4 linked regions of the Callithrix jacchus genome follow. The protein of the gene in region 2 interacts with the protein of the main gene of each other region in a pairwise test. Links are inferred from orthologs where the notes say so. Each region holds a gene or a part of one and is shown on either strand. Other genes may lie near its edges.

What was found.
Region 1: the proteins of TFCP2 (region 2) and ZCCHC10 interact in binary tests that used the Homo sapiens proteins (3 or more experiments, as listed by UniProt). The two-hybrid records come from large-scale screens. The link is inferred for Callithrix jacchus from reciprocal best matches to the Homo sapiens genes TFCP2 and ZCCHC10.
Region 3: the proteins of TFCP2 (region 2) and ZCCHC12 interact in binary tests that used the Homo sapiens proteins (3 or more experiments, as listed by UniProt). The two-hybrid records come from large-scale screens. The link is inferred for Callithrix jacchus from reciprocal best matches to the Homo sapiens genes TFCP2 and ZCCHC12.
Region 4: the proteins of TFCP2 (region 2) and CDC73 interact in binary tests that used the Homo sapiens proteins (3 or more experiments, as listed by UniProt). The two-hybrid records come from large-scale screens. The link is inferred for Callithrix jacchus from reciprocal best matches to the Homo sapiens genes TFCP2 and CDC73.

The regions. Positions count from the first base shown.
Region 1 is NC_133503.1:75,424,831-75,430,675, forward strand, and holds part of ZCCHC10 (zinc finger CCHC domain-containing protein 10), read left to right. Parts: intron 1-1,852; coding exon 1,853-2,014; intron 2,015-5,845.
Region 2 is NC_133510.1:68,339,374-68,345,218, forward strand, and holds part of TFCP2 (alpha-globin transcription factor CP2), read left to right. Parts: intron 1-1,728; coding exon 1,729-1,853; intron 1,854-2,203; coding exon 2,204-2,320; intron 2,321-2,632; coding exon 2,633-2,775; intron 2,776-4,912; coding exon 4,913-4,964; intron 4,965-5,845.
Region 3 is NC_133524.1:114,745,182-114,751,460, reverse strand, and holds ZCCHC12 (zinc finger CCHC domain-containing protein 12), read right to left. Parts: upstream 3,576-6,279; 5' UTR 3,296-3,575; intron 3,080-3,295; 5' UTR 3,025-3,079; intron 2,831-3,024; 5' UTR 2,729-2,830; intron 2,294-2,728; 5' UTR 2,180-2,293; coding exon 959-2,179; 3' UTR 389-958; downstream 1-388. UniProt on the Homo sapiens protein: Transcriptional coactivator in the bone morphogenetic protein (BMP)-signaling pathway. It positively modulates BMP signaling by interacting with SMAD1 and associating with CBP in the transcription complex.
Region 4 is NC_133519.1:50,416,477-50,422,321, forward strand, and holds part of CDC73 (parafibromin), read left to right. Parts: intron 1-2,284; coding exon 2,285-2,426; intron 2,427-3,220; coding exon 3,221-3,257; 3' UTR 3,258-5,845.

The sequences.
Region 1 (5,845 bases), on a different chromosome or scaffold from region 2:
TGTTGCATGAGCCACCATGCAAAGATGGCTGGGCGCAGTGGCTCATGTCTGTATTCCCAGCACTTTGGGAGGCCATGGCGGGCAGATCACTTGAGGTCAGGAGTTTGAGACCAGTCTGGCCAACATGGTGAAACTCCACTTCCTCAAAAATATAAAAATTAGCCGAGTGTGGTATTGCCCATCTGTCCAGCTACTTAGAAGGCTGAGGTGGGAGAATTTCTTGAACCTTGGAGGCATAGGTTGTGGTGAGTCAAGATGGTGCCACTGTACTCCAGCCTAGACAACAGAGTGAGACTCCATCTCAAAAAAAAAAAAAGAGAGAATCTCCCTCTGTTGCCTAGGTTAAAGTACAGTGGCACAATTATAGTTTCCTGCAGCCTTGAATTCCTGGGCTCAATTGAGCCCCCTATCTCAGCTTCCCAAGTAGCTGGGACTAAGATATGCGCCACCATACATGGCTAATTTTTGTATTTTTTGTAGAGACAGGGTTTCACCATGTTGCCCAGGCTGGTCTCAAACTCCTGAGCTCAAGTTATCTGCCTGCCTTGGCCTCCCAAAATGCTGGGATTATAGGTATGAGTCACCGTGCCTGGCCCTAGCTAATTTTAAAAAATTTCTTGTAGATATAGATTCTTGCTATGTTGTCCTGCCTGGCTGTTCTCAAATTCCTGGCCTCAAGCAGTCCTTCCACCATGGCCTCCAAAAATGCTGGCTCATGCCTGTATTCCCAGCACTTTGGGAGGGCATGGCGGGCAGATCACTTGAGGTCAGGAGTTCAAGACGAGCCTGGCTAACACGGTGAAAGATGTGAGCCACTTCAGCTGGTCAGCTTGATTATTCTTTACCCCCTTGTTGATTCTCTGATTCTTAAAGAAGCTTGTTAAAAATGTTTTGACAGTCTTTCTTAGTTCTGAGCTGGAAAGTAGTCTGAATGACCTCGTCTGTCATTAACTGGAACTTATTTGAGGAGCCATGATTTGAATTCAACTGTATCTTAACTTTAAGATCTATGCTTTTAACCATGTATTTTATGTATTAATCCATTTTCACACTCCTGATAAAGACACACCCAGACTGGGCAATTTAAAAAATAAAGAGGTGGCCAGGCGCGGTGGCTCAAGCATGTAATCCTAGCACTTTGGGAGGCCGAGGCGGGTGGATCACGAGGTCAAGAGATCGAGACCATCCTGGTCAACATGGTGAAACCCTGTCTCTACTAAAAATATAAAAAATTAGCTGGGCATGGTGGTGTGTGCCTGTAATCCCAGCTACTCGGGCGGCTGAGGCAGGAGAATTGCCTGAACCCAGGAGGTGGAGGTTGCGGTGAGCCGAGATCACGCCATTGCACTCCAGCCTGGGTAACAAGAGCGAAACTCTGTCTCAAAAAAAAATAATAAATAAAGAGGTTTTATTGGACTCACAATTCGACGTGGCTGGGGAGGCTTCACAATCATGGCAGAAGGCAAGGAGGAATAAGTCATGTTTTACATGGATGGCAGCAGGCAAAGAGAAGAGAGACCGTGCAGCAAACTGCTATTTTAAAAACCATTTATTCACTATCACAAGAACAGCATAGGAAAGTCTTGCCCCTATGATTCAGTTACCTCCAGCCAGTTCCCTCCTACAACACATGGGAATTCAAGATTTCAAGATGAGATTTGGGTGAGGTCACAGCAACCGTATCATTATACTTATTATACTTTGTTGTATTAAATCTAACATAAAGAGTAAAATATTTATGAATCGGACCATAAAAGTAAACATTATTTTATCCTTTATATTTTTTATATTTTACAGGGCAAAAGTCCCAAGACAAAATTTTAAGGCTTGTATTCTATTTTTTGTTCTGCAGTGAAGCAAATAAGCAACATGTAAGATGTCAGAAATGCCTGGAATTTGGACATTGGACTTATGAATGCACAGGAAAAAGAAAATACCTACATAGGCCCTCAAGGACAGCAGAACTAAAAAAAGCTTTAAAAGAAAAAGAAAACAGATTATTATTACAACAAAGGTAGGTTTACATGTGTTATCCAAAGGAATATTTTTTAAAATGTATATTTATAGAATTTATTAAAGGACTAAATGTTTCATGGTGGTTCTCCAGATTTTAATTATATTACTACGAATGTTTAATGGATGCTTGCTATGTGCCAAACACTGTTCTAGGGTCTTTATAAGTATTAGCTTATTTAAACCTGACATCTACACTATTAAGGTAGGTAATATTACTGTCTTTTTACATATGAAGAAACTGAAGCAAGGAAATATTGAACGATTTACTCATTGTTACACAGCTAGTAAGAAGAAAAAAATAATCATTAAATCATGCAGCCTGTGCCCCAGATTCATTGTCTTAATCATTTTGCTCTGTTGCCTCAACTGTCAATGAAATGACAGTTGAATTAAGAGATAGATTATATGAGCTGACATAGAAAGCTTTATATATCAGGTATATAAAGAAGGTAGGGAACAGAATATATAATATGCTGTGATTTATGTTTATAAAAAGAAAAATTGGCTGGGTGCAGTGGCTCACACCTGTAATCCCAACACTTTGGGAGGCCGAGGCGGGTGTATCACATAAGTCCAGGAGTTCAAGACCAGCCTGGCCAACATGGTGAAACCCCATCTCTACTAAAAATACAAAAATTAGCAGGGTGTGGTAGTGTGTGCCTGTAATCCCAGCTAGTCAGGAGGCTGAGGCAGGAGAATCGCTTGAATCCAGGAGCTGGAGGTTTTGGTGAGCCAAGATTGTGCCACTGCACTGCAGCCTGGGCAATAGAGCAAGACTCTGTCTCAAAAAAAAAAAAAAAAAAGGAAAAGAAGCAGCATCTTCATAAAGGTTATTAGTTATATAATAGTGTCTTAAATATTTAGGCTTTCAAGGCAGCAGTCTTCCAATCTGCTGGACATGAAACTTCTTCAAAAGTTGTACAGGAATAGGTAAATAACCAATTTCTAAATTATCAACATTCATATGCAATTTTTCCTAAAACAAATCTAGATGAGAACTTCCCTACTGGTCTGCTTTTATACTTCCGCTTTTCCAACAAACCTTCTCTAATCTCACAAAAGAAAGGTATACCTCTCGCCTATCTCTAATACTTTAGTGTGTTGTCCTCATGTATAAATACCTAGATGGTTTTTCAAAATAGTGGTATTTGTATTGAGAAAGTAAATGGCCATAATAGTTTTGTTTGTTTTGAGACAGGTTCTCACTAGGTCTCACTGTGTCACCCAGGCTGGAGTGCAGTCTCTTCTCACTGCAACCTCCAACTCCTGGGCTCAAGTGATCCTCCCACCTCAGCCTCCCAAGTAGCTGAGACTTCAGGTGCATACCACGATGCCTGGCTTATTTTTTGCATTTTTTGTAAAGACAAGATTTTGCCATGTTGCCCAGGCTGGTCTCAAACTTCTGAGCTCACGCAATCCACCTGCCTCAGCCTCCCAAAGTGTTGGGATTATAGGTGTGAGCCACTATGCCCAGCTGGCCATGATTTTTGAGAGTAAGTTCTTTTTTTTTTTTTTTTCTTTGAGATGGAGTTTCGCTGTTGTTACCCAGCTGGAGTGCAATGGCGCAATCTTGGCTCACCGCAGCCTCCACCTTCTGGGTTCAAGCAATTCTCCTGCCTCAGCCTCCCAAGTAGCTGGGACTACAGGTGCCCACCACCATGTCCAGCTAATTTTTGTATTTTTAGTAGAGACGGGGTTTCACCTTGTTGACCAGGATGGTCTCAATCTCTTGACCTTGTGATCCACCTGCCTTGGCCTCCCAAAGTGCTGGGATTATAGGAGTGAGCCACTGTGCCCAGCCTGAGAGTAAATTCTTTTTTAAGGTTTTTCCCCCAACAAAATTGGTGGGGGACCTAATTGAATTGTCAATTTAAAAATATTTTTTACTGATATATTCTTATATGACTTGTGGAATGTAACATAGAAGGAATGCAGAGAATTGAGTGATACTGAAGTAAGAAGTCTTTCCATTTCCATGATTCTATTTAGGTTAAGGTTTCTCCAGGTTAAATCTATAAAACTGTAAAATAATTTAATTCCCAAAGAGCCATCTCTATTGAAAAAATAAAATTTAAAAATAGGAATTTAGCCAGGCGTGGTAGCTCACGCCTGTAATCCCAGCACTCTGGGAAGCTGAGGCAGGCAGATCACAAGGTCAGGAGTTCAAGACCAGCCTGGCTAATATGGTGAAACCCTGTCTCTATGAATAATACCAAAAAAATCAGCTAGGCATGATGGCACATGTCTGTAGTCCCAGCTACTTGAGAGGCTGAGGCAGAAGAATCGCTTGAACCTAGGAACAGAGGTTGTAGTGAGCCGAGATTGTGCCACTGCACTCCAGCCTGGGCGACAGAATGAGACTCTGTCTCAAAAAAAAAAAAGAATTTAATTGATGTCAAACCTGGTCACATTCTACTCTGAAGTTTTTATTTATGGATATATAAACTAGAAAAAAAATCTGTCATTAGGAAATACATTTCTGGACCAGGCACAGTAGCTCATGCCTGTAATCCCAGTACTTTGAGAGGCTGAAGTGGGTAGATCACTTGAGGTCAGGAATTCGAGACCATCCTTTCCAACACGGCAAAACGCCATCCCTACTACACGTATAGAAATTAGCTGGGTGCAGTGATATGCACCTGTAATTCCAGCTACTCAGGAGGCTGAGGCAGGAGGATCACTTGAACGTGGGAGGCGGAAGTTGCAGTGAGCTGAGATAACACCACTGCACTCCAGCCTGGGAGATAGAGTGAGACTCTTACACACATACATGCACACACAGATATATGTTACCAATAAAGTAACAGTTATTAAAATTTATAATATTGTCCAGCTGCGGTGGCTCACACCTGTAATCCCAGCACTTTGGGAGGCCAAGACAGGAGGATCACTTGAGGCCAGTGCAACATAGCAATATTCTGTTCCTATTAAAAAAAAAAAAAGTTAGCTGGATGTGGCAGCGCATGTCTGTGATCCCAGCTACTTGGGATACTGACTTGGAGGATTGCTTCAACCCAGGAGGTCAAGGTTACAGTGAGCTGTAATTGCACCATTGTACTCCAGCCTGGGTGAGAGAATGAGACCCTGTCTCAAAAGAAGAATTGTTAAACTTTTTCTTTTTTTTGGGATGGAGTCTCACTCTGTTGCCCAGGCTAGAGTGCAGTGATGCGATCTCGGCTCACTGCAACCTCTGCCTCCTGGGTTCAAGCCATTGTCATGCCTCAGCCTCTCGAGTAGCTGGGACTACAGGTGTGCACTACGGAGCCCAGCTAATTTTTTGTATTTTTAGTAGAGATGGGGTTTCACCATGTTAGCCAGGATGGTCTCAATCTCCTGACCTTGTGATCTGCTCGTGTCAGCCTTCCAAAGTGTTGGGATTATAGGTGTGAGGCAACATACCCGAAGTTTACTTCCCTCTCTTGTTTTTTTTTTTTTTTTTTGTCCTACATGTAAAGATCCCCCTCTTATTTTACTCCCAAAATGACAATTCGGTAAGGAATTCCATTGTGTAAAAAACTTTACATAAATACACATTTATGTTTGGAGACTCAGGAAATAAACACAGAAACAGAATCTAGGAAATATAGAAAGGGCCAGAATATAAAAACGTTGGCCACGTGTGGTGGCTCACACCTGTAATCTCACACTTTGAGAGGCTGAGCAGCTTGCTTGAGCTCAGGAGTTCCAGATCAGCCTGGGCAACATGGTAAAACCCCGTCTGTACAAAAAAATGCAAAAATTAGCTAGGGGTGGTGGTAAACACTTGTAGTCCCAGCTACTCAGGAGGCTGAGGTGGGAGGGTTGCTTGAACCTGGGAGGCAGAGGTTGC
Region 2 (5,845 bases):
CCTGAGTAGCTGGGATTACAGGCACGCGCCACCATGCCCAGCTAATTTTTTGTATTTTTTAGAGAGACGGGGTTTCACCATGTTGACCAGGATGGTCTTGATCTCTTGACCTCGTGATCCACCTGCCTTGGCCTCCCAAAGTGCTGGGATTACAGGCTTGAGCCACTGAGGCCGGCCCAAACTGGAGAAGTGCTCTTAAATGTGGGTAGGAATTGAGTGTCTGCCTGCAATTGTTAAAATCCACAGTGGTTTGTGAACTTTTTTTGGGAGTTGCCATTTTAAATAGGTAGTAGTAACTTTGATGAAGAAGGCATTTAGGTCAATGGCAGCAGAACCAAATCAATGACTAAACAGAAAAACAGATTGTGCAGTATTTATTTTGGTTTTGTTTTGGCATTTTTTTCTTGATACAGGGTCTTGCTCTGTCACCCAGGCTGGAGTGCTGGAGTGTGATCACTGCAGCCTTGATTTCCTGGGGGCAAGCAATCCTTCTGCCTCAGCTCCTTGAGCAGCTGCGAGTACCGGCATGCACCAACATGCCCACCTAATTTTGTACTTTTTGTAGATGTGGGGTTTTGCCATGTTGCCCTGGCTGGTCTCAAACTCCTGAAGTCAAGCAATCCTTCCGACTTGGCCTTCTAAAGTGCTGAGATTACAGGTGTGAGCCACCGTACCCAGTCATTTTTTTTTTTCTACATCATAAGGGGTGTTAAATCTTGGAAAAAAAAAATTTTTTTTTTTTTGAGATGGAGTTTGCTGTCATTGCCTGGGCTGGAGTGTAGTGGTGCGATCTTGGCTCACTACAACCTCTGCTTCCTGGGTTCAAGCGATTCTCCTGCCTCAGCCTCTCAAGTAGCTGGGATTACAGGCATGTGCCACCATGCCCGGCTAATTTTGTACTTATAGTAGAGAGGGGTTTCATTATGTTGGTCAGGCTGGTCTTGAACTCCTAACCTCAGGTGATCTGCCTGCCTCAGCCTCCCAAAGTGCTGGGGTTACAGACGTGAGCCACCACGCCCGCCAAATCTTGGAAAATTTTAAGGAAAGAAGTGAAATTAGGGGCTGATGACTTGGGGAAAAATAATTGATCTTTCAATATTATCTAAAGGGTGTTTAGAAATAAGAAAGAGTAAGATGATCAGATCAAGAGGTAGTTAAATACCTTTCTCTAAGAAGAACAGAAAAAGGACTTAGGCTAGTTAGGAGAAGGTAATGAGAAAAATAAGATGATCTAGTTTACTGTGTTGGCATTTTTGAGTAAAAAGTATATCCTGAACCTGACCCATAAGACGGTGGCCTATGTATCTTGACTATTTCTAACTTTTACACAATAAGTCACAAACTCAAATGACTACAGAGGACATACAGGTAATGCAAATGAATGGCAGTCAAGACAGGGGTAAAGAGTATATACATCATATAAGGAGAACAGCTGATTGTTTTCATGTGAGAATGTGGGCTTAAGATTGCTAGATCTGAGTCTTCAGGAAAAGCCACAAGTTCAGAGGTTTATATGATGCCTCATATTGGAACTAATTCCACTTAAGGAAAAAAAATAGCCCTACCACTGGGGAACTAATAAAACATAGTGAATTAATTGCATTTGGCCATTGAGCTTCTACTTTTCATCTGCTCTGTACTATTAATGTAGAAACACAGTTTCTCCCTTCTTTTTATTGTGCTTACCATAAAGAATGTAAGACTAATTAGCCTTTTTCTTCCCTTTAGGATGGTGCGTCCAAGGTTAACCATTTATGTTTGTCAGGAATCACTGCAGCTGAGGGAGCAGCAGCAACAGCAGCAGCAACAGCAACAGAAGCATGAGGATGGAGACTCAAATGGTACTTTCTTCGGTAGGTTGTTCTGGACAGACCAGGACAGATACGAAGAAAGGTGAAGAGACAACTTATGGGCCTCTGTGATGGGAAACTATCAGAAAGTAGATTCATTGTCTGCTAGAAATAACAATAATCACTAGCATTTATTTGCACTCCTAATATATGGCAGGTGCAATCCTTTTTGGGGGGGTGGGGAGTGACAGACTCTCACTCAATTTAGCCAGGCTGAAGTACAGTGGTGTAATCATGATTCATTGCAGCCATCTGCTCACCGGGGCTCAAGTGATTCTCTCCCCTCAGCCTCCCAAGTAGCTAGAACTACAGGTGTGCATCCCATATCTGCCTAATTGTTTTATTTATTGTAGAGATGGGTTCTCCCTATGTCACCCAGGCTGGTCTGGAACTCCTGAGCTCAAGCAATCTCCCTGCCTCAGCCTCCCAAATTGCTGGGATTATAGGTGTGAACCACCACGCCCAGCCAGGTGCTATTCCTAATACTTTTTATATGCTTTAATATTTAATATTAATATCTTTATATATTTAATAGATATAAAACTAATATCTCCTCTTTGCAGAGGATTTTATTGTTATCACCAGTATTTATGTGAGAAAAATGAGGCCTAGGGGTAAATAACGTATCCTAGGTCACACAGCTGCAAGTGGTTGAGCCAGAATTGGAACTTAGGCAGTCTGATTTCTGAGTCCTTCAGAGAAGTGGGCGTTCCTAGTGATCAAGTTACCTGTAAGAGCAGACAAACTTTGTACTGACTGCTGTTGCTCTCTCCCTTTTGCAGTTTACCATGCTATCTATCTAGAAGAACTGACAGCTGTTGAATTGACAGAAAAAATTGCTCAGCTTTTCAGCATTTCCCCTTGCCAGATCAGCCAGATTTACAAGCAGGGGCCAACAGGAATTCATGTGCTCATCAGTGATGAGGTAGATTTTTCAGTACAGTTGAATTACCAGATGATGATTAATTTGTCAGCACACGGAGCAAGAGCAGTTCTCCTGGAGCAGAGTGTTCTGTTTTCTAGATCAGAGGGTTTCATACTTTTTTGCTTGCTTTCCTCCTAAAAAAAATTTTTTTTTTTTGGAACAGAGTATTGCTCTGTTGCCCAGGCCAGAGTGCAGTGGCCCAATCTCAGCTCACTGCAACCTCCACCTCTTGGGTTCAAGTGATTCTCCTGCCTCAGCCTCCTGAATAGCAGAATTACAGGCATGTGCCACCACACACAGCTAATTTTCGTATTTGTAGTAGAGACAGGATTTTGCTATGTTGGCCAGGCTGGTCTCGAACCCTTGGCCTCAGGTGATCCGTCTGCCTCAGCCTCCCAAAGTGCTGGAATTACAGGTGTGAGCCCCTGTGGCCGGCCATCTTACTGTAACTTTTGTTTTTATTTTTTTGAGATGGAGCTCTCACTCTGTCTCCAGGCTGGAGTGCAGTGGCACGATCTCAGCTCACAGCAACCTCCACCTCCAGGGTTCATGTGATTCTCCTGCCTCAGCCTCCAGAGTAGCTGGGACTATAGGCACACACCTTCACACCCAGCTAATTTTTATATTTTTAGTAGTGATGTGGTTTAACCATGTTGGCCAGAATGGTCTCGATCTCTTGACTTCGTGAGCCACCCACCTTAGCCTCCCAAAGTGCTGGGATTACAGGCGTGCGCCACCATGCCCAGCCTACTGTAACATATTTTTATGCACAAACATCTTTTATTATCCTACTATATTTGTTTGAAACAAAGTTTTTAAATAAAAATTTAAAAATTATTATGAATGGAATTATCATAATTTACAATTGATTAAAATAATGTAAATATGCTACATGTTTTAATAAGTAATTATTAACCATTAAGAAGCCCAGGCGTGGTGGCTTTTGCCTGTAATCCCAGCACTTTGGGAGGTTGAGGCAGGCAGATCACCTGAGGTTGGGAGTTCCAGACCAGCCTGACCAACATGGAGAAACCTCATCTCTACTAAAAATACAAAATCAGCTGGACGTGGTGGCACATACCTGTAATCCCAGCTATGTCGGAGGCTAAGGCAGAAGAATCGCTTGAACTTGGGAGGCAGAAGTGGAGGCAGAGGCAGAGGTTGTGGTGAGCTAAGAAAAGAAAAGAAAAAAAGTATTACAGGTGTATCTATGAATGAGTTGGATGAAATTGTTTCATTCCCTACCTGTACCCTTGCACATAATTATTTCCTTTGTAGATGAATACTGCCTATTGATTGCTAGAATGACATAGGATTTCAGCATCGATTTTATTGTGTTTTTTTTCCCTCTAGATATAAATGCTGTGGGACTTGACTCACATAAATTGATAGGAATGGATAGAGTTTTATAATAACAATGTCATTAGATTATTTTAAACTTCACATTTATATACCAAAAATTACATAGTGATAATCAAAAAATCATTTTGAATCCTCTATCATATGACAATTTGTGATTAGGTTACTCCATAATTCTGGTGAAAGGAAAGAGTTAAAAACCATGTGGCTCATGAAAGAGTTTGTTGCCCAGTTATTGGAGTTCACCTTTGTTGCTCCACTTTGGCACCTGAAGCTCCTACATCGTGGGCCAGAGCACCTTGTTAGGGTTCTGGGAGCGTGAAACTCATGCCTTTATCTTGTAAAATGGGAGAAGGGAGTTTGAGAAGGGAAAGTGGGGAAGGAAAATTAAAGAAGTTTTAGCAAAGAGCACATATGGTTGTTGAAGGCACGGAAGTTAGTTCTCCCGTATGTATACATTAGTGTCTGTGTGCTCCTTGGAGAGTCTTGGGGTTAACCCAGGGAAATGCATACCTAGCTTTAAGATAACTGCTCTAATCTGCTTAGCTTTTTAATATTTAAAAACCACATGGGAGGGAAAAAAAGTTTGTGAAGCAGGCTTTTGAAAATTGGGAGGAAGAAACTTTTATGACTCTATAGATATTCAAGAAATACACTATTGTGGCCTGTAAAGCCTCCCATCTAAATCCCTCTGGATGTGGGTTAGTCCTTAGGGACACAGGAATATAAAGGGGTTCTTTTTCATTTAAATAATCACAAGTTTTCTTGATTTTTTCAGATGATACAGAACTTTCAGGAAGAAGCATGTTTTATTCTGGACACAATGAAAGGTAATAGTAAGACAAACACCTTTCTCTGAGCAGTTTAACAGCTTTACTGCTACTAGATAAAGTACATACTTTACTTCTTTGAGGAGAGATAGGGAAAGTATCAACCATAATTTTTGTATTTTTGGTAGAGATGGGGTTTCATCACGTTGGCTGGGCTGGTTTCAAACTCCTGACCTCAAGCGATCTACCCACCCTGGCCTCCCAAAGTGCTGGGATTATAGGCGTGAGTCCCTGCGCCCAGCCCAGTTTTTTGCCATTCTCTTCCATCTTTTATTACAGTTGAGGAAATTCAGGCATTTTTTTTTCTTTATTTTAATAAAGGAAGTGACATTATTAGAGATTGTTTCTTTGTGTAAGTCAGCTTTTTTTTTTTTTTGAGACAGAATCTCAATCTGTCGCCCAGGCTAGAGTGCAGTGGCAATATCTCAGCTCACTGCAACCTCTGCCTCCTGATTTGAAGTGATTCTCCTGCCTCAGCCTCCCAAGTAGCTGGGATTACAGGAACGCACAATCATGTCCGACTAATTTTTGTATTTTTGGTAGAAATGGGGTTTCCCCACGTTGGCCAGGCTGGTCTCGAACTCCTGACTTCAAGCTGTACACCCACCTTGGCCTCCCAAAGTACTGAGATTACAGGCATGAGTCCCTGCGCCTGGCCCGGCTTTTTGCCATTCTCTTCCATCTTCCATTACAGTTGAGGATATCGAGGCATGTTTTTCTTCTTCTTTTTTTTTTTTTAAAGACAGAGTCTTGCTCTGTCACCAGGCTGGAGTGCAGTGGTGCAATCTCAGCTCACTGCAAACTCTGCCTCTCGGGTTCAAGCGATTCTCCTGCCTTAGCCTCCAGAGTAGCTGGGACTACAGGTGCACGCCACCACACCC
Region 3 (6,279 bases), on a different chromosome or scaffold from region 2:
ATGATCTAAGGAATCTGCCCAGATGAAGGAGAACTGCCCATCCCCAAAGTGAACAGAAATGGAGCCCCTGATATCCCCATTTGGGCTGTTACCTTAGCACCAGACTCTCCCATCCCGCATCAGAATCCTGGGTCACGGAAGAAAGCATTGGGGTTTTGTCAACAAGTGGGTGCCACGAGTTGGCTCTTTGAGGAAGGGACAGGCTGGTTGTGGGAAGGGAGCTCTGTCCTTTAACCTTTGGGAAATATCTCAGCCCATTTCTTTTTTTTCTCATTTGCAAAATGAGGTTGATTAAAAACCCCACCTCAGAGTACAATCCCCCTTTATAGATTTTTACTATATTTTCTTTTTTTTTACTTCCTAAAATAACAGCACAGACACATTAAGATAGATGCTGATATATTTATTTATTGACATAGAAAGAAGCTCACAACATATATTGTCTGGTGAAAAAATACAGAGTATAGAACAGCACTTATATTGCATCACTTTTATCTATACATATATCTATCTGGGTACATAGGTATAGGAACATATCTAGAAGGGCACTCATCAAAGGGTTGACAATGATTATATAAGGGTGGAGGGATTTGGGTAATTTGTACTTCACTTTTTGTACTTTTTTTATAGTTCAAAGATTTAACAATAATTTATATCACTTTCACAAAGAGAATAAAGCTGTCAAGGTAATGGGCACACACAGAAAACAGACCCTTAGGCTGCAAGGAGAAGGAGCAAGGACAGAGGTCAGGCTATCTCCCTCCAATGTGCTATTATCCAAGACCCTTTCTCCTCCACCCCAAAAGATAGCCGCTTGTGGATTAATTCATGCAGTTAGAAGCGGAAGCCCCACCCCACCCCCACCCCCACCCTCACCCCCACCCCATCCCACCCCAGTTTTCCCAGCGCTGGATGCTGAATATAGGTAAGGGTTTACTGAAACTTGGGGGCTGGTCCCTTACAGAAGCTGAGAGAAGATATTGTATCGGCCAAGGGCCCCTCTTGATCGCTCCATCTCGGTATGGGTCAGCTCCTGCAGGGTGATGATCAAATTCTCAAAAACCTGGGCCCTGTCACTCTCGTTGTCACAGGTTTCTTTGGAGTGACCCTCCTCACCACAATACGAACAGCGGAGAATGTGTTTTCGCTTCCTGGCTCTACGCATCTGCATCTCCCCAGGACCATTATTCTTAAAGCCAGAACCACCACTGGTGGAAGGAAACTGAGCCCTGGAAGTTTGGGGGGAATCAATGACCAGCACTTCATCCTGAGGTCTGGCCCTGTTTCTGAGGGAAGGGGCACCCCAGGGTGGAAGTGGAGGATCCTGAGACTCCACCAGGATCACATCCTCATCAGAGTCGTCATCGAGGGTATCATCAATCTCTATCACATTGCAGTCAGCACTGCCCATCACTATTGGCGGGGAGCCCTGAAATGCCACAGGGCTGACTGCCCTCTCCACCATCGACTCAGACCTTTTGGACCGCTTCCGATGAATAGCATCATCATCATCCCAATCATCTTCCTCCCTCACCATTCTGATTAACTCCAGGAAAGTGGGAAGCCGATCCTGCTCATCTGCATACATCCTGAGAAGCTCCTTAAGTCTGAGGCGGAGGTCCCTACTAAGGTCAGCGCCTAAAAGGAACTGCTGCAAGCGAATCTGGTTTGCATCTTTCTCAGCTATGATGCCTGCCTGAATAGCGTTCTGGAGCTGCACTTCTAAACGGATCACATAAAGGGAGGTTTTCTCCCCTTGTGCCTGCAGGGTGTTAAAAAATTTACCATGGGCAGTCATACTGCTTTCAGACTCCCCAAACACCAATTTCATGGCTCTCAAGAAATCTGCCACATTTAGATTAGGGTTGGTCGCCTGAAGCACACGCATGACCTCCCGGGCAGGGCCCCTAAGGGTTTTCATCAAGCGCTGGAGCTTTTCGTCCTCAGACATATTCCAATCTGGCAGGACCTCATTGACTTGGGTCAGCCAGTTTTCAAAGGTTTCTTCCCCCTGGGCTGGCACCATCCTCCCCGAAAACAACTTCATATTTCTCTCTGCCATGCTGGACATTATAGGACTGAGACTCCTCCCCAGGGACCTCATCATGGAATAGAGCCAAGGCGGCAAGGGTGAGTTCTGCCGCCGGCTTTTACCCACACGTGCAATGATGCTAGCCATGACTGACAGCGAGAGGGTATCTGAATATAACAAGAGGCCTAAGCTTTTTAGAAAAGCGTAATCTGCAGGCAGGAGAGGAGAGGAGGTGGCTCTGTCTTCCTGTCTCAGCAGGGGCTGTAAAAAAGAAAGGAGGGGGCTGTTAATAAAGGAGAGGGCTGCAGCTGCATTCTCCCTACTTGAATATCCTGCAGTACATTTTATATTTGCCCACTACCCTAAAAATAATCCCGCAAGAGATTGGCACTTACAACCACCCAGAGCTACCTGATGCCTGCGTGCTAGCAAGGTGCTTTTTGCAGCCACATCCATCCCTCCCACCAGTCCTCTAAGAGGGATGGCAACTGTTGCTCCAAATTCTAGGTGTAACAGTGTCTGGAGCTGATATTGGGCTCTCCAAAAAGAGTACAATGATCGCAGTTTGTGGAAATAAAATAAGATCTCATTAACCTCACAGTCTCTGTTCTCAACCACACCCCTTCTCAAAGTGTCCCCCCCCATCTCTCTCGTTATTTCTCAGATTCTTACACGAGCTCTGAAACAAGAGCACACCTTTATTTCCAGTCTCTTCAACCAGTGTTCTTCGTGAGAAAGCTCCTCTAGGGGGATAGGTCAACCTCTGTCCACAGGGGGTCGCAGATCCGGGTCCTCGAGCTTTCAAGATTGCGCCACAGCGGAGAAGGCCAGAGAAGGGGGGGTTAGAAGCAGCTTCACCCGTCATCCTGCTACCCACCGCCTCCGCTGTTGCCAGGCGGAAAATTCTCTGGCCCTCCTGAATATAAGCCAGAGACCAGCCCCCCCACCCTCCCAAGCATTACATTTCTCCCTGGAAACCGTCGTCAGCCTACCAGCTCTGCAATCAGCTGTACAGAATTCAAGTTCAGATGCGGCTTTGATGGCCTGCTACGGAGAAAAGGAATAAGAGTTGGACACACCCACTCACATATTCCTCACAGAAAGAGATGAGGAGATGCAAAGCAGGCTCCAGGCAAACAGCTTGAGATTCCTCCCCCCGCTACTCCTCGCCTCTCCCCCCACCCCTAAATCCAGGCAAATCCTACAGTATCCAGGTGAACCCCACCTCCTCCCTCAGCGCAGCCGGCGGGAGAGCGCTCCTACCCCTGCCTCGCAGTCACCGATTCTCCAAGCGGGGAGCGGCCCAGTAGTGGTGGGTCTTCCCCCACCCCTCTCCGCGCCGGGCAATCGCGCCCGCTTCTTTACCTGCGCTCCGCTCGTGAGCAGCTAGTGCTCCCGCGTCGCCAGCTGTGGATTCCGCCTTCTGGTCTACTCCACCCTGCAGGGGAAAATAAAGGGAGCCTCCTCGGCCGCTAAGCGACCAGGGGCTGCCCAAAGGAACTGCTTCGCAGGGCTGCCAGGGGTAGCCGAAACGAGGCAGCGCGGTTCCTAAGGCAGCGGCGACAGCTTTTATCCCTGCAGCTGAGACAAAAGAGCGTGACGAGTGGGCCAGTGCGGCCAATCAGCGAAGCGCGGGGGCGTACGGCTCGCACAGCCTTGGGCAGGGGCGAGTGTTCCGGGCAGGCTGGCAGGCGGAGGCGGGAGGGCACAGCGGGCCCGCGGAATCTCAAGTGCCCCTTGATTAGACCGATGGAGCCAATCTTCCTGTTACCCCGCAATTTGAGACTCTTTCTTTCTCGCCCAACCCCTCCCTTCTCCCGGGGCTCAGCTCTGCATCTTAGGCCAGGTGCATTAAACACAAAGTGGGTCCAAAATCAAGTATATAATAAAAGTTCTTCACCTTGGTATAGGGGAAAGAGGGAGAAGAGGGGAAGGGGCGGGAAGAGCATTAGCCCGTGCATTGTGCAAATAGGCTTTCACAGACATCTCCTCTTTTATGGTGAAGAAAGTGGCAGTATGTCCATTTAACAGAAAGGGGAGTTGGAGCACCAAAGCTCTCAACCGATACCCATTCGAGTATGGGTGCAAGACATCAGAGTCATTTGGGAGAGCTTGTTCAGAAATGCAGGCTTCTGGGCCTCAACTCTGGTGGATTCAGATTGACTAGGCCTAGGGGTTGTGGTGTGGTTTTGTATTTAGTATTTTTTTTATTGCATTTTAACTAGTGCTGCGGTTGGTTCTGAGGTGTAGTGAGGTTTGTGAATAAGTAAATGAGCCTGTCTCAAGTATCTGTCCACACTTATCTGTGACGAAATGCAACTCCAGAGCAAATGTGCCTACCTGGAATCCATGATCTTCCTGAAGTTTTAGGCAAAGATTTTGGACTCTGTATGAGGATAAATAAAGCCCCCCCACCCCCAATATATCAAGCCCTAATCCTTGAAAGCTGTAAATGTTACCTTATGAAGTAAAACGGTCTTTGCAGGTGTGATTAAATTAAGGCTTTTGACTTGAATTTCCGGGCAGGCTGAAATCCAAATCCCAAGTGTCCTTATAAGAGAGGCAGAGGGAGAGCCGTGCACCAAGAAGAGAAGGCAATGACCAGAGATTAGTGATGAAGTCATAAGCAAAGGAATGCTAGCAGTCACCAGAACCTGAAAGAGGCAAGGAATAGAGCACAGTCCTACTGACACCTTGAATGCAGCCCTGAGAAACCAGTGTTAAGCTTCTGGCTTCTAGAACTGCGAGAAATTAAACTTCTCTTGTTTTAAGCCACCAAGTTTGTGATAATTTATTATGGTGCTGTCTTAGTCTGTTTGGGCTGCTATAACAAAATACCATAGACTGGGTGGTTTATAAACAACAGAAATGTATTGCTCACAGTTCTGGTAGTTGGGAAGTACAAGTTCAAGGTGCCAGCAAGGTTGGATTCTCCTGAGGCTTTTCTCCTTGGCTTGCACATGGCTGCCCTCCTGCTCAATCTTTTGATAGTCATCCTCTCTGTGCATATGTGCCCCTGGGGTCTCTCAGTGATTCCAAATTTCCTCTTCTGATAAGGACACAAGTCAGATTGGAGCCTACCCTGAGGGCCTCATTTTCCCCTTAATTAACTCTTTAAAGGCCCTATCTTTAAATACTGTCTCTCTCTACAGTGCCTGGGGGGTTAGGACTACAACATATGAATTTGAGGGAACATAGTTCAGCCTGCAGCACTCCATTTTCCCTTACTTCTGGTTCTGGGAAAGCAAGTCTTCCTCCCTCATGTAAACTGTGGTTAAGAGACTCCTGTGGGGACTTTGGGGAGGTCAAGACCAAGTGCATTTGGACCATCCAAGTGCAAAGGAGTTGCTTATTCTTGATTCCTGATGCTTGGAAGTGAGTGAACAGTCTGATACCTTTCAGCTGCTGTTAGGTTCAGCTTCAGCCTACCAAGGTACTTCTGCTCCTTTCTGCCTTCTTATTTCCAACCCCAATACCTAGAATTCCTTGGAGTAAACAATCTACATCTAAAGACAAAGCATCTTCATCTCAGAGGCATGACCTTTCTCTTGTGGATGGAATACTGTAATGGTGACAATGGTGGGTGGAGGATTTTGGAGGTGCAGAGAAGGCAGGTTGCTTACTGCACACAGTGCAGGGTGATGCTGGCAGTAGCTTAGGGATATTCTTCAGACTCTTGCTTCTGCTCCCCAGTGCTACAACCTCTGACCCTGGCCTCTAAACAGAATCTTGTTCTGCATTTAAATTGGCTTCATCGCCAAATCAGGTGATCTGTAGTTGGACCTGGTGGCATCAAAAAGGACAAAGACTGTATCTCAGAGCTGTGCAAAAAATTTTGATTGTGTAAATGGGTTGGGTCATCGGAACCAAGTGAAGTCTCTTCATACAGGGCTTGGAGGAGCATTTGATAAATTGGCTTCATTTGGATACGGAGCATACCTTATCTCTGACCTCATATTATAGGAGAGGGGTTGTGGGTAAGGGGACTTCCAATTACAAGGATTCTAGCTCTGGTGGTTCTAAGAAGGCCACATTTCATTTTCCAATTGCCAAAATAAAAAAACAAAACCCTTAAAATCTGGAAGTTTCAGAGCCAATGCCTTCAGTTGAAAGAATAATAACTACCTTTAGTTGCCTTCGAACTCCGTGCCAGGAATTTTCCATCCTTATCTCATGTAAGTGCCTCATCAATCCTATTCAGATAGGCATTGTTATTTCACAAGGTTTCTGAGAGCATATGGGCACTT
Region 4 (5,845 bases), on a different chromosome or scaffold from region 2:
GAATGTTGATTGTACTACGAACAATCCTGTGAAATGCCCTTTGTTTTTAGCAGCCCCAGTTTTTGTTAGTGGTACCATCATTTTTCCATAGAAAGTACCCAAGCTTGAAAGTTGTAGTGTTCTTCTATTACCTTCATTCATTTAAAAAAAAAAAAAAGAATTCTATTATTACATTATGATAGCTTTTTATGTTATTTTTGAAACTTGAGTAAGGCACGGAGTTGGTAAATAGAAAGTTAAATAAAAAGAATGGGAATTTGAATCAAAGTAAAATGTCAGTGTGTATTGTTTTACCTACTTGCTTGCCTTGTTGAATAATAATATTTCAGCAAAATGATTAGAGTGTCTTCAAGATATAAATGTATGAAATTCATTAAGAATATAAAAATGTTTTTTATTATTTTGTTCAAATTGTTAGTCTTTTGAAATTTAGATAAGAATTTAGAGAATTTTCTTTTAACGGTCATCATTGATTTACTTTAATTAGTTATTCTTTCTCTTTCACCTATTCCTTCTACACTGACTCCTCTCTCAGCATTTAAGAATACTCTTTCCCCTTCCATCTTAAACAACAAAACAAAACCCTTACCCTTAACCTCATCCTTTCCCCTTGCTGCTTCTTTTTCCTTTTATAGCTTCACTTTAGAAAGAATTGTTTCTACCAACTCATTTTCTGTTCAAATCCCCTGTAGTCTGGCTCTTGCTCTGTACTAAAACTATTTTCACTAAAGTTTCCAGTGACTCAGGGTTCAGTGAATATTTTGAGCTACTGTTGAGACCTACTGCTCAGAAAGATTCCTTTCAAGATATTATTGCTGATTGATGATGTACCTACTCACAAAAGAGTTCTGATGAAGGTGTTCAAGGAGATGAATTTTGTTTTGATGACTACTAACACAGCATCTATTATTTAGCCCATAGATCAAGGAGTAATTTAGACTTTTCAAGGTTTTTTTTTTTTAAGAAATAAGATTTGAAAGGCTGTAGCTGCTATAAATTGATTCCTCTGATGGATCAGGGAAAAGTAAATTGAAACTTTCCTAGATTTACCATTCTAGATGCTATTAAGAGCATTTGTGATTAATAGGAGAAGGTCAAAATATCACCATTACCAGAAGTTTAGGAGAAGTTGATTGCTACCTTCATGGTTCATGGATGACTTTGAGGGGTTCAAGACTTCAGTAGAGGAAATAACCGAAGATAGGTTGTGGAAATAGCAAGGGAACTAGCAATAGAAGTGGAGCTTGAAGATGTGACTGAATTGCTGCACTCTCATGCTGGAACTTGAATGGATGAGGGAGGAGTTCTTTCTTACAGATGAGCAAAGAAAGTGATTTTTTGAGATAGAATTCACTCCAGTGAGCACTTTGGTGAAGATGCTGTAAACATTGTTGAAATGACAACAGAGGATTTAGAACATGACATAAATATAGTAAAGCAGCAGGGTTTGAGAAGATTGAGTCCAGTTTTAAGGAAGTTCTTCTTTAAGTAAAATGCGGTCAAATATTATCACATACTGCAGAGAAATCTTTTGTGAAAGGTAAATTCAGTAAGTGCCAGAAACTTTATTATTATCTTATTTTCAGAAATTGCTCAGCCACCCTAACATTCATCAAAGACCACACCCTATTAGTCAGCAGCCATCAACATTGAGGCATAATCCTACACCAGCAAAAAAAATTAGAACTTGCTGAAGGCTCAGATGATTGTCAGCATTTTTTAGCAACAAAGTATGTTTTAATTAAGGCATATACATTGTTTTTCAGACATAATGCTATTCCACACTTAAGGTAGACTATGACATAGTGTTAATGTAGCTTTTATATGCAGTGAGATAGCAGGAAATATGTGTAACTTACTGTATTATGGTACTCACTTTATTGCGGTGGTCTGGAACTGAACCCACAATGTCTACAAGGTAAGGTTGCACTCTTGGGTTTCTGTAATAACCTAGTACCCTTACAGTCTTTCTTATTGTCCTTCACTGGACCATATGCATATTATCTTACCTTATTCCTCATTTTAGTCTCCAGTGCCTGGCATATATAAACCCTGAATATTTTTAAATATAATATTTTTAAAAAATCACTTTGGTTGTACTATGGCTTCAGTTGGTGGAAATTTTTTCTTTTTCTTTTTCTTTTTAGGTTTCAGTTTAATGTCTTGAATTCATTCCAGATATTAATTGGATTTGGATTTGTAAAAAATTTTCTGTAAAATGTTTTTATAATTTTGTTTATATTTTGAGTAAAAAATTCTTTCTTCTCCCCACCCCACACTGTAGTTAAAGCCTTCCATCTGAAATATGATGAAGTTCGTCTGGATCCGAATGTTCAGAAATGGGATGTAACAGTATTAGAACTTAGCTATCACAAACGTCATTTGGATAGACCAGTGTTCTTACGATTTTGGGAAACATTGGACAGGTAATTTTTATTCTAAAATGTGTTTATCTGTGGTTTATTGTAATTTTTCTGTCTCCTCAATTAAATTTTAAGTTCCATAAAGTTGTGAATCTTACTCCCTATTTTCCTTCTTTCAACATTAATTTGATGTTTATCTTCAGTAAATAATTAACAAAATTTTATTGTATAATTACTTTAGAAAGGGATGGAGAGTTAATAGCCTGATAGAGGGAACACTAAATTGAGTCAGAAGACTTAGACTTGAGTCTTGCTTTTGTAATCTCTAATGATCTGTGTGACCTTTTTGAACCTTATTATCTGTCCAAGAAACTTTGGATTAAGCGCCCTATGTTTTTGCAAGTACTGAAAGATCTCTGATTCTGGGTTCGTCTGTGTTACACATAGTTCATGAAAAGAAATGAAATTTTAAAATTTATTTTGATTACTAGTATAGTGTTGATAAAACCCTTTAGTAACAGTTTTGTAATTGGCAGATTTAAGAACAGCGTATGTTCACAGTGAGTACCACTGAATCCATTCTCTTTGAGGTGTGCTCCTTAAAATCTGTAACATCTTGGTGTAAGTCTCTCACAATAGATGTGAAAAATATATATCATTTTAGCTAGAAGCTTTTAGATTATATTACTTAAGAGGAGTGTTATTTCTAGCTTATTCCAGAAGTCCTTATATTTTCAGTTTTCTAGAAAACAACATTCTGTTGATTTAAGAAATGTCAACTTATTTTTACATGCGTTATTCTAAAAATTCCGAAATTTCTATAGTCATTATGACCTACCATCATACTTTTTTTTCAGGTACATGGTAAAGCATAAATCCCACTTGAGATTCTGAATTATTTGGCTCCTCTGTTTCTGGAAATTGAGACTCAAGCTTTATGAATTTATCAAGAACTTAAAGATGAAGAAGGTCACAGATTGATCTTTTATAAAACCTTACTCGATGCTTTGTGCTTCAAGGAGATGATGCCTGTCATCCATATAAGCAAACTTTTTGGCTTACAACTATTTTTTTAATACTAGCCTTCTAGTCTGTAATGGAAATTGTATATTTTGATAGAAGTTTTTTCTCCATTGGTTAAATTAGCATTACTTAAAAAATTTGTTTCTTTAGAAAATAAATGCAGGTTATAAATGTGTGTATATTTAGAGATTATAAGGCTCTCTGAGCCATCTTGCTTCTGATTTTTCATTGCTCTCTAATTCTTTTTACTGAAAATACTGTGTGATGAATGGTATTAAATTTTAGTCTCTGGAACATCCAAACCAAGCAGAGGGATGTGACCATTTTGAATGAATCAGAATGTCAACCTGTATGTACACTATATCTACACTTACTCTTTATTTAAAAAGAATAATGAAAAATCAAGAACAACTCTTCAATTTGATTGAACTGTTCAGCCTTTTCAAGATTTCTTTATTTACAAATGATAACATTTAATGAATGTACGTTCTTCTCACTGACTGGTGATTTTTGAAACTTAGAATGATGTGTTTCTATCTGTGATATCTTTCCGTTTGAAAAAAATTTCAAAACACAGATTAAAACCATAATAGGCTGTAGTATTTTTTATTTTGGGAGCCACAGTATGATTTGGGGAAGGAATATGTATCAGCCCTATTGCAGTATGTCTTTAAGCTCCTTTTCTCTTTAGTCCACCTTTGATTCTAATTTTTATGGTATAGGATTTTGAGTCTTCTGTTTTAGGTTTAGGCTTGTCAGTCTTGGAGTTCTTATCTTCCATTATCCCTCAATATTGATAAACTCCCAGACACCAAAGAACACATTTGCTTAATTGAAAAGAAACAAGAGAAAAACACTGGTATTTTTGTGTGTGTATTAAATATGGTATAAAATATAAAACCTATATTTTAACTTAGTAAAATATTTTACTATTTCTCTACTTTAGACAAAATGTTGCCTCCAAGGTACAACTGACCATTTTCCTTGAATCCTGATTTTGCTCTTTTTACTTAAAAGCAACTGGAAAGCTTTACTTTCCCAAATTGTTTTTGCCATCAGAATTTTTGCTGATCACAGTCTTAGGTCATTTTTTTCTTCCTTGTTATTCCCAGCAGTTCTTTCCTAGGTTAACATATTGTTGGCAAACATTTATCCCTTTCATAGGTGTTAAGCTGACATTATCTAGATTCTTTATGAAATTTAGCACTGTCACAAAAACGAGAAGAAATTATTTACTTTTAAGTAATCACAAAGTCCATACCACTAGTAACTAGAAAAGGTATTTATTTACACGGTATCTACAAGGCTGTTCAGAAGAGAACAGTTGGCATTTTAAATTACTGGATTTTAGCATACCTAGAAAGTTTGAATAGATTCTACCCGTTTTCCTCCCTTTTTAGTGTCTTCTTTCCTTAAAGATAAAACTCAGATTTTTTCCCATTGGGCTTTCTTAGCATATAGATCTGTTTCCGGAATAAATTACGTGTTGTGTAAACTTTCTTCATGATGAAATAGTCAAGGACCAGAATCTGTGATATATGTATGTAAGATTACTTGTCAAGACTACTACAAGTCAATATGAACTACCTTCCCGTAAAGATTTTTGGTATTTATACTTATTAATGAACTTTACTTGATACAGAATATGGTTAAAATTAGGAACATCTACTTTGAATGAGGTTTATTTTTCTATTTTGAATTTGCCTTATGTATATTCAAAGGCTTATGGAAAAACTATAGAGGAACTTTAGGAAAAGGACAAATATGTGATGATCATCTATCTGAAAATCAGATCCTTAGCATAAGCACTGCTTTTTTTCTCTTTGACAATGTAGCTTCTTATTTAGGTCCATGGAATTAAATTTCATTCCATTACTTTTTCAGCTAATCCCTATTCATTCTCCCATGACATGGTCTGATAGCAGTACTTAACACAGTGCCTTGCACATAGTAGGCATTCAGTAAATACTTATATGCATGAATGAATAATGTATTTTCAGTGTAACAAATTTATTACAAAAATGTAGTTTGACTCTACTTGGTTTTGGAATTTGAGAATACAGAATTACAGGGAATGAGGAGAGGTATAAGTAGATACTTTAATGGAAATGAAGTATAAATAACTTACCCATAAGTTACTTCTAACTGGAGATACCCATGTATGCCCAATCTGTAAAGGAAAGTTCTATTTCTACATTTATAGGACATTCTTCTCAGTCAGGGAGCAGTAAGAAGTATGTAGGTTTCAGTCAGTTGCTCTCAACCCTGACTGCATGTTAGGATCATTTGGAGAGTTTGAAAAAAAACCCATGCCTGAATCTTCATTCCCATTTTTATGTAATTTGAGACCTGGTCATCAGTATTGTTTTTAGAAGTTCTCCAGGTAATTTGAGTGTGCAGGAAGGATTCAGAACCACTGGTTTAGTTTGTTATTGGAAACAATACCAGGATTAAATGTG